Diceros bicornis minor: one gene and its partners. The protein of the gene in region 3 purifies or fractionates together with the protein of the main gene of each other region. This does not show direct contact. Links are inferred from orthologs where the notes say so. Each region holds a gene or a part of one and is shown on either strand. Other genes may lie near its edges.

Region 1 (8,341 bases), on a different chromosome or scaffold from region 3:
ACAATATATGAAAGGATCCTATTTTCAGTAACAACAACAAAGATTAAATAGCTAGGAATAAACTTAAGAAATGTACAGCATTTTTTTTATTTTTTTTATTTTTTTTTTTTCCCCCAAAACCCCAGTAGGTAGTTGTATGTCATAGTTGCACATCCTTCTAGTTGCTGTATGTGGGACGCAGCCTCATCATGGCCGGAGAAGTGGTGCGTCGGTGCACACCCGGGATCCGAACCCGGGCTGCCAGCAGCGGAGCGCACGCACTGAACCGCTAAGCCACGGGGCCGGCCCTGTACAGGATTTTAAAACAAACCAACTTAAAAAACACATTTCTGAGAAACTGGGGAAATGTGTATATACACTGGATATTAGATAATATTAAATTAATAATAGATAATAAATTGTTAATTTTGATAAATGTGGTAATAGCATTGAAAGTATATGTATTTCAAAAAGTCCTCATTTGTTCAACATATATTGTGAAGTATTTATGGATAAAATCATTTGTTTTAACATATTCTAGTCTCCCACCCTACAAAAAAGGGGAGAAGGAATAGGTGATTCAAGATTGGCAAAACATGGAAAACTGTTGAAATGAAGTGATGGATACATGGACATTCATTACATTGTTTTCTCCACTTTTGCATATTTGAAAATGTACATAATAGAAAGTTATAAGAAATGTGCAGGAGAACCCAAAGGAGGGTGATGAAAGACTTAAATAATCCCAAATGTATATAATAGACTTACAAAAAGACACGAAAATTGCCACCTAACAATTAAGAAATGCAAATTAAAACTACAAATCAGATGTCATTTTCAGCAATCAAATAGAAAAAGATCAAAATATCTGGTAATACTCAGCATTGGGCAGGGAGGCACCTGACCCTGCTGGAGGGAGGAGGAATCAACACCAATTGGAGGGCACTCAAGGCTATACCTTTCACAGTCATACACACACAACCGCTGGCCCAGCAATTCCACTTTTGGAATTTATTCTAGATAGTCATTCAACAAGTATTTTCTCCTACCTACAATGTGTCAGACACTGGAGATAGAGAGGTGGAGAAAACAATGACCCTGCTCTTATGGGGCTTCCATTCTTGCTAGGGAGGAGACAACCCATAAAGCAAGTCAAGTACGGAGGCAATTACAAGGTCAGGTGAGGGATAAGTGTGATGAGGAAACAAGTAAACAGAATTAAGGGGGTTGCAAATGGCTCAAAGACTATTCTGGATGGGCTGGGCTAGGAAGGTTTCTCTGAGGTGGGTGACAGTTGAGCAGAGACCTGGCGGAAGGAAAGAACAAAGTAGGAGAATGTCCAGGGGAGCATTCCAGGCAACGGGGAAGGAAGCCACTGGGTCACACACAGATTTGGCCTTTCCGCTCTCTGCTTTTCTTTTTATTCCCCTAACAACTTTTTGTTTATCCAAAGGATATATAAGCACCACTTGAGTGTCTCTCTTTGTCCCCTGATACAAAAATAAAAATTAATCAGATCCTTTTATTACAGTACATTTTCAAGGAAGGTGCCAGGCCAGCATTGCTTCCCCAAACACTACTGTGCATCACAACTTGATTTCTTCAAAGGAAGAATTTCCCAATTTATCTAAATGTTACACAAAGCCTGTTAATAAAAGTGCATTAAAGCCAATCATGACTTTTTAACACAAACTTTTCCACAGAAGAGAGAACAGATTCATTTCACAAAAGACATTGACCAGTTGCTAGATAATTATACACAAAACAAAAATATTGTTAGTCCCTGCCCCTCTGGCAGGACTGGAAACCACTGACTTAGAGGAGTCTACAGTTTAACTTCATGATCTTTTAAGCCATGAAGTTGAAATTTTGAAGGAGCTACTTGGATAAATATTCTACACTTAAGTGGCCAGTGTCAATTAAGGGCATTCCAGGTGACTCCAAAAGAAATGACTCTGCCACAATACCTGAGAACATTACACGCTAAGTTCTTCAAACACCTTGAAACACTAAGACTTCAAAATTGCCATGAATGATGTTCTACAAATAGCCGGATAAAGAAACCAGCATATGAGGAGGACGATTTGTCCCTATTAAATATGCTCCTGTCTCAAGGTTGAAGTCAGCTTTACATAAACGCATTCATCTCCTACCCAAAAGGAGAAGGCAAACAACCAGATGACTTCCGGACTTTACGGAGATTCCCAAGGAGACATCTCCTGTGCACAAATTTCAAGCACCACCAGCCACCCGCACAGCGAACGACAGGTTTTCCTCCAGCAGCTGAGGATGTGGTGACTTCTTCCTTTCCCTTGTCACTGCAGACCACTTACTTAACCTTCCCCCAAAGGCCGGGCAGTTCTGAGCAGAGAATGCCACTTCTTTGTGTTTTTTGTTTTTGGTGAGGAAGAGTGGCCCTGAACTAACATCTGTGCCAATCTTCCTCTACTTTGCATGTGGGACGACACAGCGTGGCTTGACGAGCGGTGTGTAGGTCCGCGCCCAGGATCTGAACCCAGGAACCCCAGGCCGCCAAAGCAGAGCGCAGGAACTTAACTGCTACACCACAGGGACTCCCCCCCCCAATGCCACTTCTGACAACTAGTTATCCGAGACCAAGAATTACCAAAGTGAGAAAAAGGTACCGGTGAGCCTCCTCGCGAGTCCCTCGCAAAAGAGGAGATCCGAGCTGGCCCCAGAACACCCAAGGTCTGGCGCCGGCCCCTCCGCCTCCCACATCTTCCGTGCCGCGCCGGGCGTCCAGGGGCCTCCCCGACACCCGCAAGCGGAGTCGTCCTTTCCCTGCCGCTCCAAACCCCCGGGAGAGACGCTCGTCCAGCTCGTCGCTGAAAGCGTCCCCACTGGCTCACCCGGGGGAAGGCAGGGGCGGGGGCTGGATCCCAGGCGCTGAGGGGGCGGGTGGGGAGCGGAGGAACACCAGGGGAGTGCGGCGCGGGCAGGTACCGAGGGGCGGGATGGGGGGTCGGGGGCTGCCCCCAGGCCGCACTGGCGGGCCAGAGGAAGGGAGGGCGTCCGCGGAGGCCGGAAGAGGACGGTGAGGGGCTGGAAGGTAGGTAGGGGCACTCCTGCGGCGGGGAACTGACGGGGGGGGGCTCCGGGGCGCGCACGGGCCGCACCTGCGGGCTAGGTAGGGGCCCCGCCCTGCGCCGCGCCTACCTGCCCAGCGCCCGCTTCATGCCCGCGTCGGCGGCGCAGCGCGGCTCGGCCGGCCCCTTGCCCGCCAGGCGCAGGTTCTGCTTCAGGCGGCAGTCGGCGTCCAGCGCCGCGGCGGCCGAGCCGGAGGAGGACGAGCCCGAAGCGGCGCAGCGCTCATGCTCCAGGGCGACCGGCTCGAGCCGCTTCCTCATCCCGCGGCCTACACGGCCGGCCGCCTACGGCGCCCGCAGGCCTCGCCCGCCCGGCCTCGCCGCAGTCGTCGCCGCCGCCCAGAGGAGCTGCCGCCACCCGGCGCCCACCGCCCCTCACATCCCAGCCCAGGTCGCGGCGCCGGCTACGGACTGGCGCCGGGGCCTCGGCCGCACCGGCCAATCAGCGCCGGGCTGCCGCCAGCCCTGCCTCCTCCCGGTGCTGCGGAAGCGCACCCAGCATCCCTGGCGCGACCGGCATCTTGGAGAAGGGCGGACGAAGCCGCAGGGAGCGTCATCGCCCGGCGGGGGCCGCCTCTGTCGGCGTGCTGAGGGGCAGGCGGAATGCCTGCCAGAAACGGGCGCCCAGCGAGCCAGAACCCCGCGGAAAGCTGGCTCCCTCCGCTTCCACCCCAGGCTTTCTGACCCCCGCGCAACACTCAAAACCCAATCTGGGTAAACCCCTGGAAATGTTCTTACAAAGGTTTATAGGACAAAAAGAAAAAGGTAACAAGTCACAATTCTAATGACTTATAACTGTTTTCCCACAAGGACTTTACTTAAAAAAATGCATTTTCAGGTACTTTTTGGTTTGTTGAAACACAAATGTATAGATACTTATTTTTAGCTTTTGGGACGACATGTGAAAACAGCTGTTACTTTTTAAAAACCTGTATTAGGTTTTAGATTTTTGTAAAACAATTAGAACTAGCAGAAGGGGGACAATCCATTTCAAAGATAAATTTCCACTTGTGAAGCCCAAATGAAGAACTAATTCAACCCATCCTACAAACAGAAAAGATAAAAGAGCAGTTTCACATGTTTAGTTTTATAGCTTTGGCCATTATTTTTTACAAACCATCTGCCACCAAGAGATTTTGCTTACTTATTCGAAAGTAACTTTTGTAATTTCAACAATTATATCAGTTGAAAACTATTGGCCAGTGATAACTTAAGATCAATTAGAAATGCCTTTAGAAATTCAATAGCTCCTTGTATTAGCTTTGTGTTGTTGGGGAAGAGGGAGAATCCCCCTCCACCCTTTCCCTTAAGGTTCTTCTGGCTGGCCAAATAATTAACAAGACAGGTTAGCAGGAGAAAATAATACCAAGTTTAATAACATGTATACATGGGAGAAACCAGGGAAACTGAATTTCTCAACACAGTGGCAGAGATTCTCATCTTAAATACCATCTTCAGCTAAAGACAAAGGAGGATGTTGGGGCAGGTGGTGTTTTGGGATTTCAGAGGGCAATAAGACAATTTACATGGACAGGGAAATGTAAGTGTTCGTCAGACAATGCTTTCCAGGGCCACCTATAAAGAATGTGGCCGGAGAGACAGGAATTATAGTGATCGAGTATGTAGATTTAAGTCGTTGTCTTCTGTCCTGATAAGAGTTTTCACAGATAAAGTCATCCCCCCTCTTCCCACTATACAGAGGGAGATACCGTTACAAATGTAAATATTTGGTAAACAGAGCTTTGTTAAGAATGGGTTTAGCAAGAACCCTGCCAGTCTGTCTACACCCAGAGTTAAATTCCTTTAGGCAGTTTGGGGGAGGTCAAATGTCCATCAGAGAAAATAATCAAGGTAAAGAGATATATTTCAGGGTGGCCAATTTTGATCTCCCACAGTGATGATACTTTGAAATGGCAGAAGAATTTCATTGATTGTATACCAGATATCACAACCAGTGTTCATATTTGTGTGGATATCTCCAACTACACTTGTGGAATTTAAATGGTGAATTCTTTATAAAGCATTGTAGTAGTACATACCAGAGATTGGGAATCCAGGAACTAAAGTGTAAAAAAATTTTGAACCTATCACTCACAAAATCCTCTTTTTTTTGGAAGATTGTCCCTGGGCTAACATCTGTCGCCAATCTTCCTCTTTTTCTTTTTTCTCCCTAAAGCCCCAGTGCATAGTTGTGTAGCATAGTTGTAGAGTTGTAGCTCGTCCACGTGGGACACTGCCTCAGCATGGCTTGATGAGTGGTGCCGAGGTCCGCACCCAGGATCCAGACCAGGAAACCCCGGGCCGCGGAAGCAGGGTGTGTGAACTTAACTGCTACTCTAAGGGGCTGGCCCCCAAAATCCTTTTTAATAGAGAAACAAAAAAGCAAGGAAGGGAGGGCTGGAGAGAAGAGAGAAATGTAAAGGGTATTGAGTGTTGCTTGCTGGCACTAGGCCCTGCCTATACAGTCCTCAACTCGTAGTCTACACTCACTTTCTGAGTGATCTTATCCAGGCTTTAAATACCACCTGTCACTGGGGACAGTCACATTTGTATCTCTAATAGTCCACACCTCTTCCTTGAACCCTGGGCTCCTCTATCCAATGGTCTACTCATCTACTCTGATATCCTACAGGCGCCTAACCATATTGTGTTCAAAGCTGAGCTCCCAACTCTTCTCCCACCCCCAGCTCCATCCACAACTTTCCCCACGTGAGGAGTGGCAACTCCACCCTTGGAGTTCCTCAGGCCAAACCCTGGGGTCACCCTTGATTCCTCCCTTCTTATGCCACAGCATCTATCACCAAGCTTTGTCAGTTCTCATTTAAAAATCTATCCCCAGGATCCAAGCACTTCTTACCACCTCCACCATCCACACACTGGGCCAAGATGCCATCATCTCTCACTTGGATTATTTTAATAGCCTAAGTGGTCTCCTGCCTTCTCCTTTGCCTCACCTGTACTTAACGCAGCGGCCACAAAGGTCTTTTTAAAAACCTAGGTCCAATCCTGTCACTTGTTTGCTCAAAACACTTCATTGACTCCCCATCTCACTGAAAATAAAACCAAAAGCTTATGTAAAGGCCCACAGGCTGTACCTTACATGGCCTCCAGCCCTCGCTCTGGTCTCAGCCACCAGCCTCTCCCATGCTCACCTTGCTCCAGTGTCACTGCCTCCCATGCTTGCACACGTCCCCCCACACCCCTCCTCCCAGCCTCTGCACTTCCATTCCTGCTGCTTGGAATTCTCTGCCCATGCTGTGGCCACATATCCACGTGGCTCACTACCTCCCCACTTCAGGTCTGTGCCTTCTCTGAACACTAACTCAAAACTCTCAGGCTTCACCAGTACTCTGTTCACCCTCCTTGGCTTATTCTCCTTCGTAGCACTTTTTACCAATATTTGCCATTAGTATATCGGCATCTATGTATTGCTTTTCCCAAACTGGCACGTGGATTCTGAGAGTAAGGATTGTGTTCACTGCTTCATCTTAAGTGTCTGGAACAATGCCCAGGATGTAATAGACACTTCAGAAAATATTTGCTGCAGGAATAATGAATCATCACAACCCCTTAGAAGTGGGTACTGTTGTCCTCATTGGATAGGTAAGGAAGTGAATCCCAGGCCTGGGGACTGAAATTAAAAAGGTTTATGGCAAAATTAAAAAGGTTTTGGATCACAATACTGTAGCACAGTCCACTAGAGAATTGTATCTTTAATGAAAACACTTAGCTAAATTATCTCTTAACGTAGAGCTGAAAATGAAATGTCACTCAACTTAAGGATGATTGAAGCATTGTAGGCCATTCCCATGCTCACGTCTCAGATCACACATCTACTGTATCTATATTTGCAGAAGAGGGACACAGTGTCTAGGGTTAGCTAGAATGAATCCAAGTAATATTGCTTTTTAAAAAATATCCAAATAAAACGAATTGTTTCTATAGCAGTAATTCCCACCTTCGATTCTATATAGTTATGAAAATTTCCATAATCATTTAGGCAAGTATATGGCTATGTGAATGCGTGTTAATCTGGGGCATTTTTCCCCCTTCATAGACCTTGTGACTGGAGCTATTTTACAAATGTTTTTAAATGACTTCTTTTAAAATCAAAGGTGGTACTGTGGAGTTGAAAGCTTAAATACAGGGTCTGTCACTTGATGAGCTGTGAGACCTCGGGCAAATTATCTAACTTGTTTCCCTTTTTTTTTTTTTTAAGAAGTGACTTCTATTTATTTATTTATTTATTTCCCCCAAAGCCCCAGTAGACAGTTGTATGTCACAGCTGCACATCCTTCTAGTTGCTGTATGTGGGACGCGGCCTCAGCATGGCCGGAGAAGCGGTGCGTTGGTGAGCGCCCAGGATCTGAACCCAGGCCATCAGCGACAGAGCGCGCGCACTTAACCGCTAAGCCACGGGGCGGCCCATAACTTGTTTCCTAATCCGTTCCAAGAGACTTAATGACCACCTTAGGGTTAATCCTGAGAATTAAATGAAATAGAAGTCCCAGTCCCTGCCACACAAGAAATACCCAATAAAACTTGGTTTCCCATTACTATCTATCAAACGAAAAACTCACACTGCAAAACTAACGAACGAAACGCTGCGTCATAACGTGAATGCACACCAAGTTCCCGGGCCTGCCTTCTGAACCTCAAAGTGCGCAACCCTTGGAACCTAAACGAAAAGGAATGACTCAAATGGAAAAAGGAAGTTGCGGGGCCTGCATTTCTCCCGAGCCGTGGTGCGCGCAGAGTTGCCTGGTTACCCTCCTGGGAACTCGAAGAAGTCTACTCAGCCTGCGGACCCAGGCCCGCCGGCTCTCCCCACACGCGGGGGCCATCCCCAGCAAAGGACCTCCACCCAGGACTCTGCCCGTCTTGAAGCAGCTGGGCAGTGGAGTCAAATGTCCCTTTGCCGCCGCCGTAGGCCGCGACGCCCATCAGTGCGTTCCTATTGGCTGGCCAGGCTTGGCGCCAAAACGCGGAGGGGAAGCGAGGATCAGGAGCTGTGGGACCGGGAAAGATAGGAGCCGAGAGCGGCGGCCGAGAGCCCGGGGACCGTTTGTCGTGAGAGTGGGCGGCTCACAAGGCCGCGGGACCGGGGCGCGTCCGCCATGTTCTGCGAAAAGGCCATGGAGCTGGTCCGCGAGCTGCATCGCACACCCGAAGGGCAGCTGCCCGCCTTCAACGTGAGGGGGGCAGGGGCAGACAAAGATGGGCGTGCTGGCTGGCGGGGCCTGGAAGCCCCGGGG
Region 2 (7,404 bases), on a different chromosome or scaffold from region 3:
CCAGGCAGGGAAGCGTGGTGGGACCAAGGTAGAGCGGATCCAGCGTGGATTCAAATCAGCTGCTGGGGTTGGAGACCTGACACATCTCGGGCTAACGGTGCAGCAAGAGAGCTTGCAGCCAGACACCAAGAAGGACTTCCCAGATTGGGGCTTGAGACTGAGAAACCCCTCTCTCCATTCTCCCTAGTGGATTTGCATGCAGTCCCCAGACCCCCATCTGAGGGAGCAGTGGTTGAACTTATGTGTCCCCCAGGGAGTTGGGAGGACCAAGGATTGAGGCTTAGGTGGGGGAAGGGGAACTACACACACACACACAGTCACTCTCTGCACCAGGCAGCTGTGAGGCGGAAAAAATTCAGTAATGGGGAGCGTGAGTCAGAGGGCTGGCAGGGAGCGGGGCGCCTGCCGTGAGCTCATCGCCTCCCTTCTCCCCGTCCAGCACCCCCACCGACAATTAATGTCAACTCGGGGAACAAGGAGCCAGACAGAAGGGGGGTTCTGCGGTGGACTGGAAAAGGCATCAGAGAGAGGGAGACCGGTGCACAGCAGTTCCAGGCTTTATTAACAAACGAGTGTAAAAACCCAGATGGGCCTGGCCGGCCCTCTCGGCTCTCACGGCTCTCACCTTCCCCGGAAAGGGCCAGCGGGCCAGGCAGCCCTGAGCTCATCCCCTCCTCCCCGGGGGCTCTCCCTAGGCAGACAACCCTCCCCTGCAAAGGCTCAGCTAGCTCATCCCCTCCAAACACAGGAATCAAACCCCAGCCCATTCCCAAGAGGCCTTGTCCCTATCCTCCACGTCCCCACCCCAAGTCCTAACCCTTGGGGGGACAGCTGTGCTCGGCCTCCTCTCCACCCCACATCCCTCTCCCAGGCCCATAGCACAAACAGCGCAGACTTTGCAGACAGACAGACCGAGATTTCTCAGTGCAGACAGAATCTGAGGCAGGGGATTAGACAGATTGACCTCTCTGAGAAGTTCAAACACTACAGACAGCCATCAGGCTGCGGTGGGGTCTCTTGCCTTCTGCAGACCTGTTTCTGGGCCCTGGGTGGGCTGGGGATTCACGGAGGGAGGGCATGAATGCGCCTGCACACAGTAGGTACTCCCTAAGTGTTGGTGTTCCTCCCTCCCTGTCTGGGTCTGGAGTCACAGGTCCTTGCTGAACTCCCTCACCAGCGTGTAGCCCATGCAGCCCCAGCTCCCGTCGGCCTGGTACCCACAGCCCTCCAGCATCCCCGCCACGCCCCAAGCTGCCACGGCCACCGGAACCACGAGCCGGGCCCGGGGCTCCCCCATGCCCCCCGCCCAGGCTCGAGCCCGGGATTCGGCAAAGGCCAGCAGGCGCCTGCCCACGCCTCGGCGCCGGTGCCAGCGGGAAACGGAGAGGCGGGTGACCCGGGCCCCATCCCCGGCGCTGGAGCCCGGGGCCAGGGCCAGGACCCCGCACACGTCCCCCGAGCCGCGCACTGCCACCCAGGGCCCCCCCAGACCGCCTGGTGGAGGCAGCGAGCCCCACCGGGCCCGCAGGCCCAGCTTCACAGCCGCCACAGCCAGGAACACAGGCAGGAGGAGGGCCAGGGCAAAGGAGGCCAGGACGAAGCGCAGGCCACTGCTGGCCGCCGCCAGGAGGAGCAGGGCTGGTGGCCGCGTCAGGGCATGCAGGGCCACGCGGTTCTCGGTGTCCTTCACACCAGCCTGTGGGCAAGACAGGTAGTCAGGGCGGGGAGGCTTGGCCCTCCGTCACGATAGGGCCCCCGTGGGCACCAGGGACTGGGAGAGAGAACGGGCCCTGCCAGGGAGGGATCCAGGGTGGGCGCTCCCGAAGGAGAAGGGAAGTTGATGCGTGGTCAGCTCCACAGCCCTCCAGCTGTTAACACCCCGCCTGACCCCCAGGGGTGAGAGAGGGCGCTAGAGAAAGGAGGAGCCGTGCCAGGACGCGGCTTAGGAGGAAATGATGGCTCCCCAGGGGTCCCGGCTGGCTCAGGCTGGCTCAGGCACGTGACCGAAGCCACTCACACTGGGGTCCCTGGCCCCCCAGGCTCACGGTGCCCCCAGGTGCCCCCTCCCTGCCACCCCCAGGCTCATGGTGCCCCCAGGTGCCCCCTCCCCCCCCCCACAGGCTCATGGTGCCCCCAGATGCCCCCTCCCCCCCCCAGGCTCACGGTGCCCCCAGATGCCCCCTCCCCCCCCACAGGCTCATGGTGTCCCCAGGTGCCCCCTCCCTGCCCCCCAGGCTCATGGTGCCCCTGCCGGCTCTCACCTTCAGCATCTCCAGCACCAGCGGTTTCTCATCTTCCCTCATCTCCCGCACAGACAGGTGGCTGGGGGCCATGGCAGCCCCCAGGCTCCCGCTCCCCCAGAAGGGAGCAGGCGTGCACCTGGTGAAAGCAAGCAGTGAGCATCAGCAGGGCACCTCTCGTCCCCAAAGCGCCCCAGGGGTGGGGACCAGCAGCAGCACGTCCCAGATCAGGACACTGCAGACGCTTGGGGTCCCCAAGCAAGGTCCGAGGCAGCATAGGCCTCCCTCCACCCAGCGACCTTTCTCAAGTCTCCAGGGGTCCCGCCTCCCGCCCGCCCCGTGGTGTTCAGCGATCTACCCCTAAGCGCCCTGTGAACGCCAACACCTTGCAACCCGGGGCCCCCGCCCAGGATCCGGGGCTGCCCCGGGGAAGGGGGTGGTCAGCGAAACTCCCCCCACAGCCGGGGAATGGGCCGCGCTCCCCAACCCCGGCGCCCGGCGCCCCTTCCCCCCCACAGTCGCAGGAGCAAGGACACGCAAGCACCTCTGCAGGTCGCTTCGATCCTTCGACAAGGCGTGGGGGCTGCAGGGTCGGGAAGGGGTCGCCGGCGGAAGTGACGTCACACCGCGCACGGAGGGGGGCGGGGCGGCGCCTGCACTCGGCCTTAGCAACTGTTGCCAAGCTCCCGGCGGGGGCTCGGGGGAGTCCGGGCGTGGACTGGGAGGGACCGGGCAGGGAGCGGCGGGGGTGGGGCAGGGGAGAAGGAGCCATGGAGAAGGGGGCCTCTGGGAAGACGGGAGCAGACGCTGGCGGGGGAGGGGCCGGCAGGGAGGGGATGGGGGCGGTGGGACCCGGCGGGGTGGGGCGGGGAGCGGTACTCACCCGGCTCGCGGAGGGTGAGCTCAAGCTCGCAGCCTGACGTTCCCTGGTTGCTAAGCAACCGGAGCGCTGAGAGGGGGCGGCGATGCGAGCAGATCAATTCTCATTGGCTCCGGGGCCTTCGTGGGAGAGGCCGCGCCAGCATCCCGAGCCCACTAGCTCCCAAACTCCCCCACCCCAGGAACCTCCACGCCAACCCACCTGGGCTCTCAGTGACCTTCAGATAAGCATTCCCGTCCACCTATCTTTCAGATGAGAGGAGGGGTGGGGTGAGTTACAGCGAACAAGTGGCTGAATCCGGATTCTGGATTCCAACGTCTCCCCACTATACTGACCACTGCATCCCTTTTTTAAGAATAAACCGAGCCCCACATAGAAGTGGCTGACGCCAAGACGCAAAGCAAGTCACCTGCGAGCCAGGAAGCAAGAGATAAGACTCCAAGCTCCCAACCGGTGGTTATGGCCATGACATTTCCCTCCGCGCCCCTCCCCACCAAAACAAAACACAGAAGAGGAGGTTCTGGTCTTTATTAGCAAGCCCGGCCTGCAGCACCCCTGCCCCCAACCCAACCCAGGCAGACAGAAAGTCGGGGTCTCCGTGTGGGGCGGGAAGAGGTACCAGTGGTTCTACTCAAAACGTGTGCACCAGCTGGACTGCGGGCAGAGTCTGGACAATCTGGATGGAGGGCAAGCCCTGTGGGGTCATGCCCCCAGGCACAGCTCCTGCGGGGACCACTTGTACCATCTGGGAAGTGGGCGCCGCAGGGATGCCCGCGGGGATAGAGGCTGGGCCAGGTGGCGGTGGGGCCAGCAGCTGCAGCGTGGCGGCGCCTCCCCCAATGCTGCTGTTCTCCAGCAGCTCGGTGGCCGGAGCGCTGCGGATGATAAGCAGTTTCTGTCCCGGGGGGCCGGGGGCAGGTGGCTCAGCCAGCCCCGCGGGGAGGGTCTCTACCTCCTGCACACACAGCTGAGTCTGCTCGCCATCGGCCCCGCTCAGCACCAGGACGCTCTGCAATCCCTCATCGGTCTGCAGCGTCTCAAAGAGCACGTCCTGGACCACGCCAGCGCTGGCCTCACCGTCACCCGGCTCCCCGGGGCTGGGGCCCGCCAGCAGTTCCTCTGCTGCTCCACTCTGAACCACCAGCAGGTTGGGGGCCTCAGTGGTCACCGCTCCCGCACTAGGATTGGACAGCTGGCCCGCCACAGGCTGGAGCTGGACCGTGGTCACTTCCTGGGCCGGCTGGAGCTGGACTGTGGTCACCTCCTGTGCCGGCTGGAGCTGGACCGTGGTCACTTCCTGTGCCGGCTGGAGCTGGACAGTGGTCACTTCCGGGGCTGGCCGGAGGGGCTGGAGCTGGACCCCACTCATTTCCTGTGGCCCTGCCTCCCCAGCCCCCACATTCTGCAGAACGATGAGGCTCTGCCCTCCCCCGCTGGCCCCGGTGTTGCCCCCTCCCTGTACCCCTAGCCCCCCAGGGCCGGGCAGCCAGACTACTCCAGTCCCCGGTCCAGCTTTCCCCACTGCCCGGGGGCCCTGTCTTGCGCCGCTGCCCCCACCACCAGTACTGGAGGAGGGCAGCAGAATAAGCTTGGGGGGTGCGGGTGGGGGCGGGGGCGTAGGGGGCTGCACGCTGCTGGGGATGAGCTGGAGGCCTTGGGCGGTCTGCACCAGGAGGAACGTCTGGGAGTTGGGGGCTGCCGGGCCTGGGGGCGGGGCCTGGGCCGGGCCCCCTGCCACCTCGAGGGAGAGCGTGGCCTGGAGGTGGGGGAGGACGTGGACATCTTGGGTGGCAGAGGGGGCTGGAGCGGCAGCCAGCGGGGCAGGGGGCTGGGGGCCGGCGGCGGCGGGGGCTGCGGGGCCGGCAGCCGCGCTGGCCGGGGCGTGCGTCCTCAGGTGCCGCTGCAGGTACGCGGCCATGACGAAGCTGCGGCCGCAGATGGGGCAGGCAAAGGGGCGCTCGGCCGAGTGGGTGCGCTGGTGCAGCAGCAGGTTGGACGAGTGCGTGAAGGTCTTGGGGCAGAGCGGGCAGCGGAAGGGCCGCTCGCCCGTGTGCACGCGCTGGTGCTGCCGCAGGTTGGAGGTCTGCGCGAAGCTCTTGCCGCACACGCCACAGGCGTGGGGCCGCTCGCCCGTGTGCACGTGCCGGTGGCGCCGCAGGCACGACGTGTTGCGGAAGGCCTTGCCGCACTCGCCGCAGGCGTAGGGCCGCTCGCCCGAGTGCAGCCGCAGGTGGTACTGGTAGTGCGAGGACCACTTGAAGGTGAGGCCGCACTGGCCGCAGGTGAAGGCCCGCAGGCCCGTGTGCACGCGCTGGTGGATGGCCAGCAGCGACGAGCGCTTGAAGGCCTTGCCGCACTCGCCGCACTGGTAGGGCCGCTCGCCCGTGTGGTCCCGCAGGTGGTAGCGCAGCCCCGACGAGCCCTTGAAGGCCTTGCCGCACTCGGCGCACTTGTAGGGCCGCTCCGCAGAGGCCGGGGCGGGCGCGGGCGGCGGCGGGGCGGGGGCGGCGGAGGCCAGCGGCTCCTGGGGACAGGTGACCTCGGCGGCCTCGGCCTGCGGGGGCGGGCGCCCGGCCGCCGCCTCCTCCACGTGGCACTGCTGGTGCGCCAGGAGGCTGGCCAGCTGCGGGAAGGCGCCGTCGCAGCTGCCGCAGCGGAAGGCCTGCCCGCCGGCCGCCCCGTGGCTGTGCTGGTGGCGCGAGAGGCCGGCCACCGTGCGGAAGGACTTCCCGCAGGGGAGGCAGGCGAAGCCCGGGGCGGCGGCGGCAGGAGGGGGCTGCGGCAGCGGGGACGGCGGGGACAGCGAGGGCGGCGGGGCCGGGGCAGCCTTGGGCGGCTCAGGGGGCCCGTCCTGGGGCCCGGGCGCCACCTCGGGCCCCGGGCAGGGCTGGTGCTCCAGGAGCAGCTCCTCGCTGCCGAAGCCCAGCTCGCAGCCGTCGCAGCGGTACACCAGCTCCACCGTGGTCTCGGCGGCAGCCAGGAAGAGCTCGGGCACCACGGGCGGGGGCGCGGGCGGCGGGGGCGCGGGCGGGCTGGGGGCCGGGAGGTGCCGCGGCAGGAAGGCGGCCGAGCCCAGGGCCTTGGCGCCCGGCTCGCGCGGCGCAGGGGCGGCGGGGGGCGGCGGTGCCGTGGGTGCGCTGGTGCAGCAGCAGGTTGGACGAGTGCGTGAAGGTCTTGGGGCAGAGCGGGCAGCGGAAGGGCCGCTCGCCCGTGTGCACGCGCTGGTGCTGCCGCAGGTTGGTGCTCTGCGTGAAGCTCTTGCCGCACACGCCGCAGGTGTAGGGCCGCTCGCCAGTGTGCACGTGCCGGTGGCGCCGCAGGCTGGACGAGTTCTTGAAGGCCTTGGGGCAGTCGGGGCAGGGGTAGGGCCGCTCGCCCGAGTGCTGCCGCAGGTGGTACTGGTAGTGCGAGGACCACTTGAAGGCCAGGCCGCACTGGCCGCAGGTGAAGGCCCGCAGGCCCGTGTGCACGCTGCGGTGGATCTGCAGCAGCGACGAGCGCTTGAAGGCCTTGGGGCAGTCGGGGCACTGGTAGGGCCGCTCCCCGGTGTGGCCCCGCTGGTGGTAGAGCAGCGCAGACGAGCCCTTGAAGGCCTTGGGACAGTCGGGGCACTTGTAGGGCCGCTCGCCCGTGTGCGTGCGCTGGTGGTGCAAGAGCCGCGATGACCACCGGAACGACTTGCCGCACTCCCCGCACTCGTACTGGGCCGCCGGCGCGGGGGCTGCGGGGCCCGGCTTCTCCGCGGTGCCCTCGGCGGTCGCGGCCGGCGCCATGTCCGCGTGGGAGCCGACCATCACACCTGGGGGGATTCCAGGTCAGGGGAGGGCAGGCGCTCCCCCCTCCACCCACACACCGCATAGTCTCAACCCCACCCCCAGACGCCGGCCCCTTAGGAGTCAGGGGCCCCTCAACGCCCACCCACGCTGCAGGGAACCTCCCTCAGGACTAGGGCTTCCAGTGGTCCAGGTTTGCCCCGGAATGAGAGACTGCCAGGTGCTAAAATGGAAACTTCCAGGCAAACTGGGAGGAGCTGGTCACGTGCCTTAGGAAGTTGGCCATCTCCTCCAGGAGGATGGACAGGCCTGAGGCCAGGCACTGCCTTTAGGGCTCTGCTCATTCCCTCCAAAGATGGGCAGTGTCCCTGAAGAAGGCTGGAGGCTCTCCAGCACCCCAGCTTCCAGTCGTTAACCCCTGTCCCTCTAAAGACCTCATCCTCCACCCTTCCTCAACACCCACTCCCACTGCCATCCCCTAAACCCTTCCACTCCAACTAAAGCCCCCATG
Region 3 (7,506 bases):
TATGAAATTTTTCTTCTTCTACATCAATAAGGCAGTTGTCAGCCCTGCAGGATAAACTTGGGGCGTTTTAGACCAAAAGATGTTTAGAATTTGATTTGGGGTTATGGATAAATCCACTGCCCTCTTTTAAGTTCTTAGGTTTTTATAAGGTCTTTTTTTTGGTGGGGTGGCGGGAGTGCTAACAATTGATTGTAAAATGTAAGAGACAAGTTGTATTTCTTCCCTTTCGTCCCAAGCAAAGATCTGGAAGGATGTCAGCAGATGACAGGCACCGGTTTTTTGTGGGTCTGTACTAGCTTTAGTACAGGCATTTCTGACTGACAAAAAAGAAATGTCTTGACTGAGAAGAGTTAAGATAAACTTGTCAGCTAAACAAGTTAAGATAAAGCTTGGTGCTTTGCATGCTTTATCCCATGAGAGTTATGACAAATGGTGGTGGTGGGGGGGGCATTAAATGCAGGACCTTAAAGCAGTGGTTCTCTTCCTCGAATGTGTCTGAGAATGGCCTGAAGACCTAGGTTAAAAACCCCAAGCCCCTGAGACAGTTGTGAGGGGGCTGGGGGATGGGCAGGAGGGGGAGGAATGTCTCATTTCTCAGTAGCACTGGCTCCAGTGTCCCTGGAAAGGGAGGGACTGGACATTCCGGAAGGTGCAGGTAATATAAGGGGATGGAAAGAGCTTGAGTGCCCATGTCCATTCAGATATGATCATGGGGCCTCATGAATTGCTCCCTGAGGAGGGAATCATCACCTCCATCTTACAGATGAGGAAGTTGAGGTTCAGCATGTCCTAACAGATAGAAGGTGCCAGAACAAGGATTCGGGCCCATTGCTGGCTAACTCCAGACACCAGGTTCTTTTCCCTCACCAGGCCTGGAATCCATGTAGGGTCGTGGTTTTCATCATTACTGAAGTGGAAGTTATTCTTTTAGAGTTACTTAATCCTTCATTAAATTCATTAAAACTCCATTTTAACCCTTCTCATTAAAAAAGAAAAAGCCACGATCAGGCAAGACTATCCATTTTCAAAGGCTGCAGCTTGAGTGGATTTATTTTTAAATGCATACAGTTCTCAAATACCTCAGATTGATTTTTTTTAAAAAAATCAGTTTTTACCTAGATCTGAAATAAAATTGGGAACTTTTTTCCTCCCCACAAATTCAAGATACACACTTGTCTCTTTTTTCAGACATTTAGGGATATGAACTCACCCCTTTGCCCTCTTTTTACCACAGGATTTCTAATATGAACCATGCCTCTCAGTGGACAAAGTCCCTAAAAAGACAAAAAAGATTCAGCAACCTGCTGAAGCCCTGCGGTTTGTACCAGAACGTGGGTGTTTGTGAAATTGATAGGACACTGTTTCTCCCTGGTTTTTCATGAATGACATGAAGAGATTTCATTGGCTTCTTGCTTGTGGGTGATTCAGGGGAATTGTAACCCTCTGAGCAGGTGAGGCTGAGATTTGCCCTTTTTTACCTCAGTCTCTTTCACAGAGAAAGAGAAACAGCATCAGCAAGAAGGCAAAGCTGTTAAAGACACTGTTTCACTTCCTAGGAATGGAACTAATTCAAACGGAAGCTAAATTGGCCAAACTCTTGATAACGTTACAGAAAACAAAAAGTGTAAAACAACCCCTCCCTCCCCAAAAATGGAGAATGATTTCACATGTTTACATTTTTCTTAGCTAAACTAATATTTAACCAGCCTTAATAAGGCACTCCATGTCATTAGAGGAGAACATTTCCCTGCAGCAAATTCTCAGAGGACATTAATAAGATAGGACTCCTAGTTATTTCCAGTGGGAAGTCTTATGTTGCTATATATATAAATTAATGTCATCACAGATGAGTCGCCTATTATAACACATGTTTTCTCTGGGAACCCTGGGGAATTTTTCTAATTACTGAATTATTTATTGTTTGCGCAGAGCAGAGAAAAATTCTCTCTATTAGCAAGACCCTTCTGTCATGAAAAACAACAAAACACTTGGCCGGGGAATGTTCCCCCTAGAACTAAGCATGATTAAGAAAGTCTGCCAAAATTTATTTTTGGAGAAAGTTATTTGCTTCTCCTATTTATTTATTTATATATGTCTTCATTTATTTATTTATTTGTGAGTTCATTCTGAAAAATCGCCTTAGTCAGGAAAGGGATGGTGAAGAGGGTTTTTGTTTGCCGTCATTTTAAGACGTGAGTTCTTATCCCGTGTGCTGCTCCTGCCACCCACCACCCTGATGGAGACCTTCTGATTTTACACTAAATGCTGATTTTTACATTCAAGTGGCCTGCAGAGATTTTTAAAAATTCCATCTCAAGCAAGTTAAATCTCAGCCTCTGGAGGAGAAAGGCCCAATGTGGGTATTTTGTGAAACCCGCCCACGTGATGCTGAGGTGCAGTCAGAGTTTGAGAGTCACTTCATAGACTAGGAAGAGGCTGGGAATTGGGCCTCAGGAGCGTGGGTCTCATTTCAGCTCCACCTGCGTCATTTTCCTTCCCCAGCTCAGATTCCTCATTTTTAAGATGATTATCCAATTCGTTCGTTAACTACCCACCATGCAAAATATTACAAAACACCAATCGACGCCCAGGAGAAAGTACTTGAAAATTCAACGTTAGACAAATATCAGATCACTATGACTATGCTACAGAAAACAAATAGCATCTATCTAACCAACAATGTGCAAGTTTACTGCAAGTTCATTAAAAGGATTAATAAACCAGAAAGAAGAGAGAACTAACAGTTCACACAAATAAATACCTCTAAACATGCAGAAGAGTTGCAGAAAGGCTTCCATAAACATTACCATTTTAATAAAAAAATTTTCCCTGTCTTTAAAATCTGCATGCAGAACGCTGAATAACTTGTATCCCAAATATGGGAGTTATTATGCCACAGTGCACTGTCCACTTAGGTACTGGAAGATTTGCATTTGGGTTTGCTTTACTGAAGCAAATGGCTAGAGAATCCATTGCTTCTGTTGAACATGCCCTGGTACCCGATCCCATTCTATTGCACTAACCAGACTGCAATCTCTTCGCATGCCGTTGGTCCTCCGTGGGCACCCAGTTTTCTCCAACAGTGTTTGGATGAGGCCTCTTGAGTGGTTCAGGGGTGCGGGGTCACCAGCAGAGAGAACTCGTAGTACTTGTATCAGTTGGCCAGGACTCCAGGTGCTGCTATCCTGGGCTGAGGGCTTTTTTGTCTCAGTAGAGGGAACAAGGCTGAGTAGAAGGAACAATGGCACCCAGAATACCGGAAGCTTGGTCCAGAAGCACATTTCCACTCCTCCTTTATCTTGAGTCTGTCTTGGATGGAGGTGGGTGGGCTAGTGTTCACGGTGTAAACTGGTAACCGGAGGAATGTCTGCAGTAAAGGGGAAAAATAAAGGCTTTAATTATTGCGCCTGCAACAAGTTTGAAAGGATTCATTAATTGGGCAGCTAAGCTGATTTACAGTGACAAGCTGTTTCTGAACAACAGGGGGTCTGTAGGTCATTTATAACCCCAAACGGCAGGAAACTATCATGGTTGTGGACTCAAACTGTAGAATAGCCAAGAAGTTTGTTATGTTGCCTCTCTCTGAATTAAACAATGAGTCAAAAATTAGGAGAATAAGTTTCTCTGTTTATCCTACAGGTGGTACAAGTCATAGGACCCTCATTTTACCCCATCATAAAGTAGAACTCCCAGTTGTTCGTGGTCCTCATCACTGATGTAAGTAAAGAAAAGTAAAGAAAAAATAAATTTTCATAAATTACCAACATCATGTTGAGTTAGAAGGTTTTGGACAAGGAAGGGTATTAGAAGAAAATAGTAATGTCCAGGAAACACGAGTGATTTTTTACTTTTTAGTTTATTAAAAGCGTGAACCATCTTAGAAAAATAAGAATCCCAAGACCGCCCAAGCCATGATAAATCCACCCAGTCAGGGGCCAATAAAGGGGTGAGGGGTTGACTTTAGAGCCAATCAGCTTTCTGGAAAAAAAATTAATCTCTTCAACCAATTGCTTAAGGAATGCAAAATGTTAACAGCATCTCATGTCAGATCTTGGCCCAAAGATGAACAAAGAATGACTGTGGGGCAGTAACAAAGATACCGGGATTATTTTACAGTTAAAATAAAAGAGTGTAAGATTCTTATGTTAGCATTTAAAAAATGACAGAGGATGATACAAACATTTCTAAACCCAGTGCTTACCTTCAGAAGAAAGACAAATGATTATTTATCTGGAGCTCTGTGGCCTTTTAAATCTCGGAGAGAATTTCGTGGTTACAAAGTCCTCTGTTTTTAAAACTCCTTGACTGTGCGCTGGGAGCTGGAGAGGATTATTTCAGCCCAGAGAACTTTCCAGTTGCTATGGAGAAAGCTGCTCTGAAGGCAACAATGAAGGTGGATAAAAGTGAGAACTTTCTGTCTGGCAGATTTTCAGGAAAATCAAATAAATGTGGCTAATGAACTCAACTTTTTATATCAATATTTACCAATTTTCTTAGCATTCTAAAACAATCTGAGAATTTCTTACAATCACTTGCCTTTTAAGGGACAGATCTAGGTCAAAGGATTTCACCTTGTAAAATGGAAGTGTTTTAGTGTTAGATCAAGATTTCTTTCTTTCCAGTTGATTCCGTGATAACTGTTTTATCTAGACTCAAACCAAGGATTTGTTGAGTGCAGAGGCTCTTTAAAACTGTATTAATTTTACAAGGCGTGGAGGTTTAAAACATTTAAGGCATTTGTAAATTCATAAATAGATGTTTTCAAACAAGAATAAAAGTGTTTGTTGGAGGAATAAAGTTCTTACCTGGGAAGTAAGTAGATGCAGCAGGGAACTTTAATTAGCTGTAGATAATATGATCCCGAAGTCTGTGGTAGGAGTGATTATATAAGGCCCTTCCGGCTCTGGGAAACTGGGCTCTTAATAAACTATTAGTGAATAAATGATTGAAAGAACAAAGTCGTAAATTTCATAGAAAGTAAGAGAAGTTAAAACCCAAGATTTCAAAATTGGCAGAGTAATTTACATGTAAATGGCACATAGGATGTTGAAACACAAAGAATCCGAAAAACACTGGGGATGGGTAGACACTTCTGAGTTCAATTGTGTAGGCGGCAGGTGAGGAGGCAGAGGACATGATAAAGAAGTTGGAATAATTAGTCTCCTCAATCTCTAACTGGATACGAAAATTGGGAACAACAGGGTGAGATAGTCCTAAGAGAATGCTGGTAGCACTGATAGAAATATGGAAGACCCATGGTTCCAGAAAATGCCAGGCTTCTCTTGAATTACACATCATGGAGCACTTGGATTTATCTAAACCATCAAGGGAAGGGACTTGGTGTGTATCTCTTGTGCACTAGCTTGAGATTAACTGTTGTTAGAGTCCCGGATCATCAGTCTAGCTGAGGAGCGAGGAGTCAGGACCTTCCCACTGTGGATCCAGTGGAGGCAGAGAAGGAGGAGGGAGCAGGCTCAGGACCAGAGGGGCACTGGGCAAAGCTCCCTGCAGGCTCCTGCTCATCGCCTATTACCATCCCCACAGTGGGCCCCACCTGAGCATCATTTGCAGGCTCAGGGGCCTGGTTAGGAGGTTACTAAAGAAAAATAGTCCAAAACCTAGTGAGCGAATTATCCAGTCCTACTCTCACCTGCTACCTTTAGGTACCACGGCTTTGCCTTGTTTTTGGAAGTAAGCCCTTGTTTCCTGGCCCAGCTCCATTTAGCAAATCCTGAAATCTGCCCTCCCTGCCGCGGTCCCACTGTATAACCTGCCCGGTTGCCGCAGAACTGGATCCTGATTTGTTCTGACCAGTGCTCCCAGGACAGTGCCCCTGCTGGGACTTTGCGACCTTTATCGTGATTGCCCTATGCCGATGTCCAGCCTGGGAGTCCCGTATTTCCTAGTCTCAGATTCCCTGTGGCTAAAGATTCCCTCCTGATAGGGCCCCAGCGAGTTATCTCCTGCAGGAATTCTCCAATGCCAATCTCTAGTCTCAGCTGCTCCCAACACCTCCAGCATCCTCGCCACAAGCCACAAGCCTGCCAGCTAAATGAATTCCTCCCATTGTCACATGCCTGAGCCCGCTCCATTTGTCCCCAAGGCTTGCTCCAGCCTCACAGTCATACTTAACAATTCAGCCACCAACCAGGGTCCTGTTTCTGTCTCACGGTGATGCAGGGACAAGGAGGGGCGAGGAGAAGCCCCGGATGGAGGCTCTAAGGCAGCCAAAGCAGCGGAGGGCTGGCAGGCAGGTCACAGGAGAGCAAGGGGAGCTTAATAAGGGACCAAAACACTTGGCTGGACGTGGCCGTGTCACCTTCTTCCCTCGACTCTGGGTTGAGGCTTAAACTCTTTGTACCCAGCCTGCCCGCTTCCCCAATAAGCCTGAAATCAACCTTTCTTAAACACGGATATATGTGCAATCCAAACCAACCTCTAGCGGTAATGAGTTTCATAAGTTCACTAACCAACTGTGTGAAGAAGCCATTCACAAGGCGTTCAACCCCCGTTTGGGACCAGGTTCGTCTGAGGCAGTATCTCCTGACATACAGACACGTGTTTGTGCTATCACAGGAAGATGTAATGGACCGGAGGTGGGAGGGACGAGGGGGTACTGATTAATCAGTCTTTCCTTCATTTTGATTCTTTGCCTTTTGATGTGGCCTGACTTTCAAACTTCTTCCTCATGTCAGGATAATGTATTTACATGTGTACTTTGCCTTGACCCAGAAGGAATGAAAGGGTCCCACCAGGTAATATAAAATACAAGATGGCAGCAACCTAAGAAGAGCCTGAAACAAGAGTAGAGCCATCTTCTGGGTATAGTCCAGGGCTGCCGAGTACAGTTTTGCAGGTTGGGCATTGTACAACTCTAAGGATCATCATTCACTTCTGTAATCATCACAGATTTATGTGTGTATTACAACAACTTTCCAGCAAACGTCCTGAGGAAAGGAGGCTCTGAGCTGGTGGCGGGGCTGTGTGCTCCTCTTCCTCAGTGCCCAGCCTACCCCTGTGGGGCCATCTCTGGAAGTAATATGAGGTCCCACAACTCTGAGCTACCTCTGGACCTAGCTAATCCCCACGTGTGCTTTTACACTATCTTCTCTTTTTTTCAAAGACACTAACCTCTCTAAATAATAGTTAACGTTTATTAACATTTTTCAAGTGTCTTTTATGCCTAGGCAATGTACTGAGCAACTTCACATATATTTTCTCCCGTAATATCAGTTGAACCTAATGAACTTCTCAGTGTACACTTCACAAATACCCAGGGTCACACAGCTAGTAGGTGCCACCAGAAACCCAGCCCTGGCCACATTAAAGTTGGCGCTTATACTACCAAGCAGCTGTCTATGGTGATGTGATCCCATGCCTTTATTTGTAAGTCCAAGCTCCTTTTTACAATGCAGCATGGGGGATATACAAAGGAAACAGACAAGAGCCCACCATAAAGGAAACAATCTGCTACATTTTGATTTTTGCATTCTCCCCACAGCCCTG

The links.
Region 1: the proteins of SLC39A12 (region 3) and ABHD12 purify together in Homo sapiens (co-immunoprecipitation; 3 studies listed by BioGRID and IntAct, counting the BioPlex papers as one, with this or other methods). This does not show direct contact. The link is inferred for Diceros bicornis minor from reciprocal best matches to the Homo sapiens genes SLC39A12 and ABHD12.
Region 2: the proteins of SLC39A12 (region 3) and NAT14 purify together in Homo sapiens (co-immunoprecipitation; 3 studies listed by BioGRID and IntAct, counting the BioPlex papers as one, with this or other methods). This does not show direct contact. The link is inferred for Diceros bicornis minor from reciprocal best matches to the Homo sapiens genes SLC39A12 and NAT14.

Annotation. Positions count from the first base shown.
Region 1 is NC_080758.1:51,379,532-51,387,872, forward strand, and holds the start of ABHD12 (lysophosphatidylserine lipase ABHD12), read right to left. Parts: upstream 3,445-8,341; 5' UTR 3,348-3,444; coding exon 3,157-3,347; intron 1-3,156. Other genes in the region: GINS1 (DNA replication complex GINS protein PSF1), read left to right, coding at 8,204-8,278.
Region 2 is NC_080773.1:33,455,202-33,462,605, reverse strand, and holds NAT14 (probable N-acetyltransferase 14), read right to left. Parts: upstream 2,936-7,404; 5' UTR 2,785-2,935; intron 2,380-2,784; 5' UTR 2,334-2,379; coding exon 2,262-2,333; intron 1,697-2,261; coding exon 1,148-1,696; 3' UTR 542-1,147; downstream 1-541. UniProt on the Homo sapiens protein: Probable acetyltransferase. May act as a transcription factor that regulates the expression of coproporphyrinogen oxidase by binding to a promoter regulatory element.
Region 3 is NC_080775.1:18,065,217-18,072,722, reverse strand, and holds the start of SLC39A12 (zinc transporter ZIP12), read right to left. Parts: upstream 3,282-7,506; coding exon 3,024-3,281; intron 1-3,023. UniProt on the Homo sapiens protein: Uniporter that promotes Zn(2+) import from the extracellular space to the cytoplasm across the cell membrane. The transport activity is temperature dependent. May play a role in neurulation and neurite extension.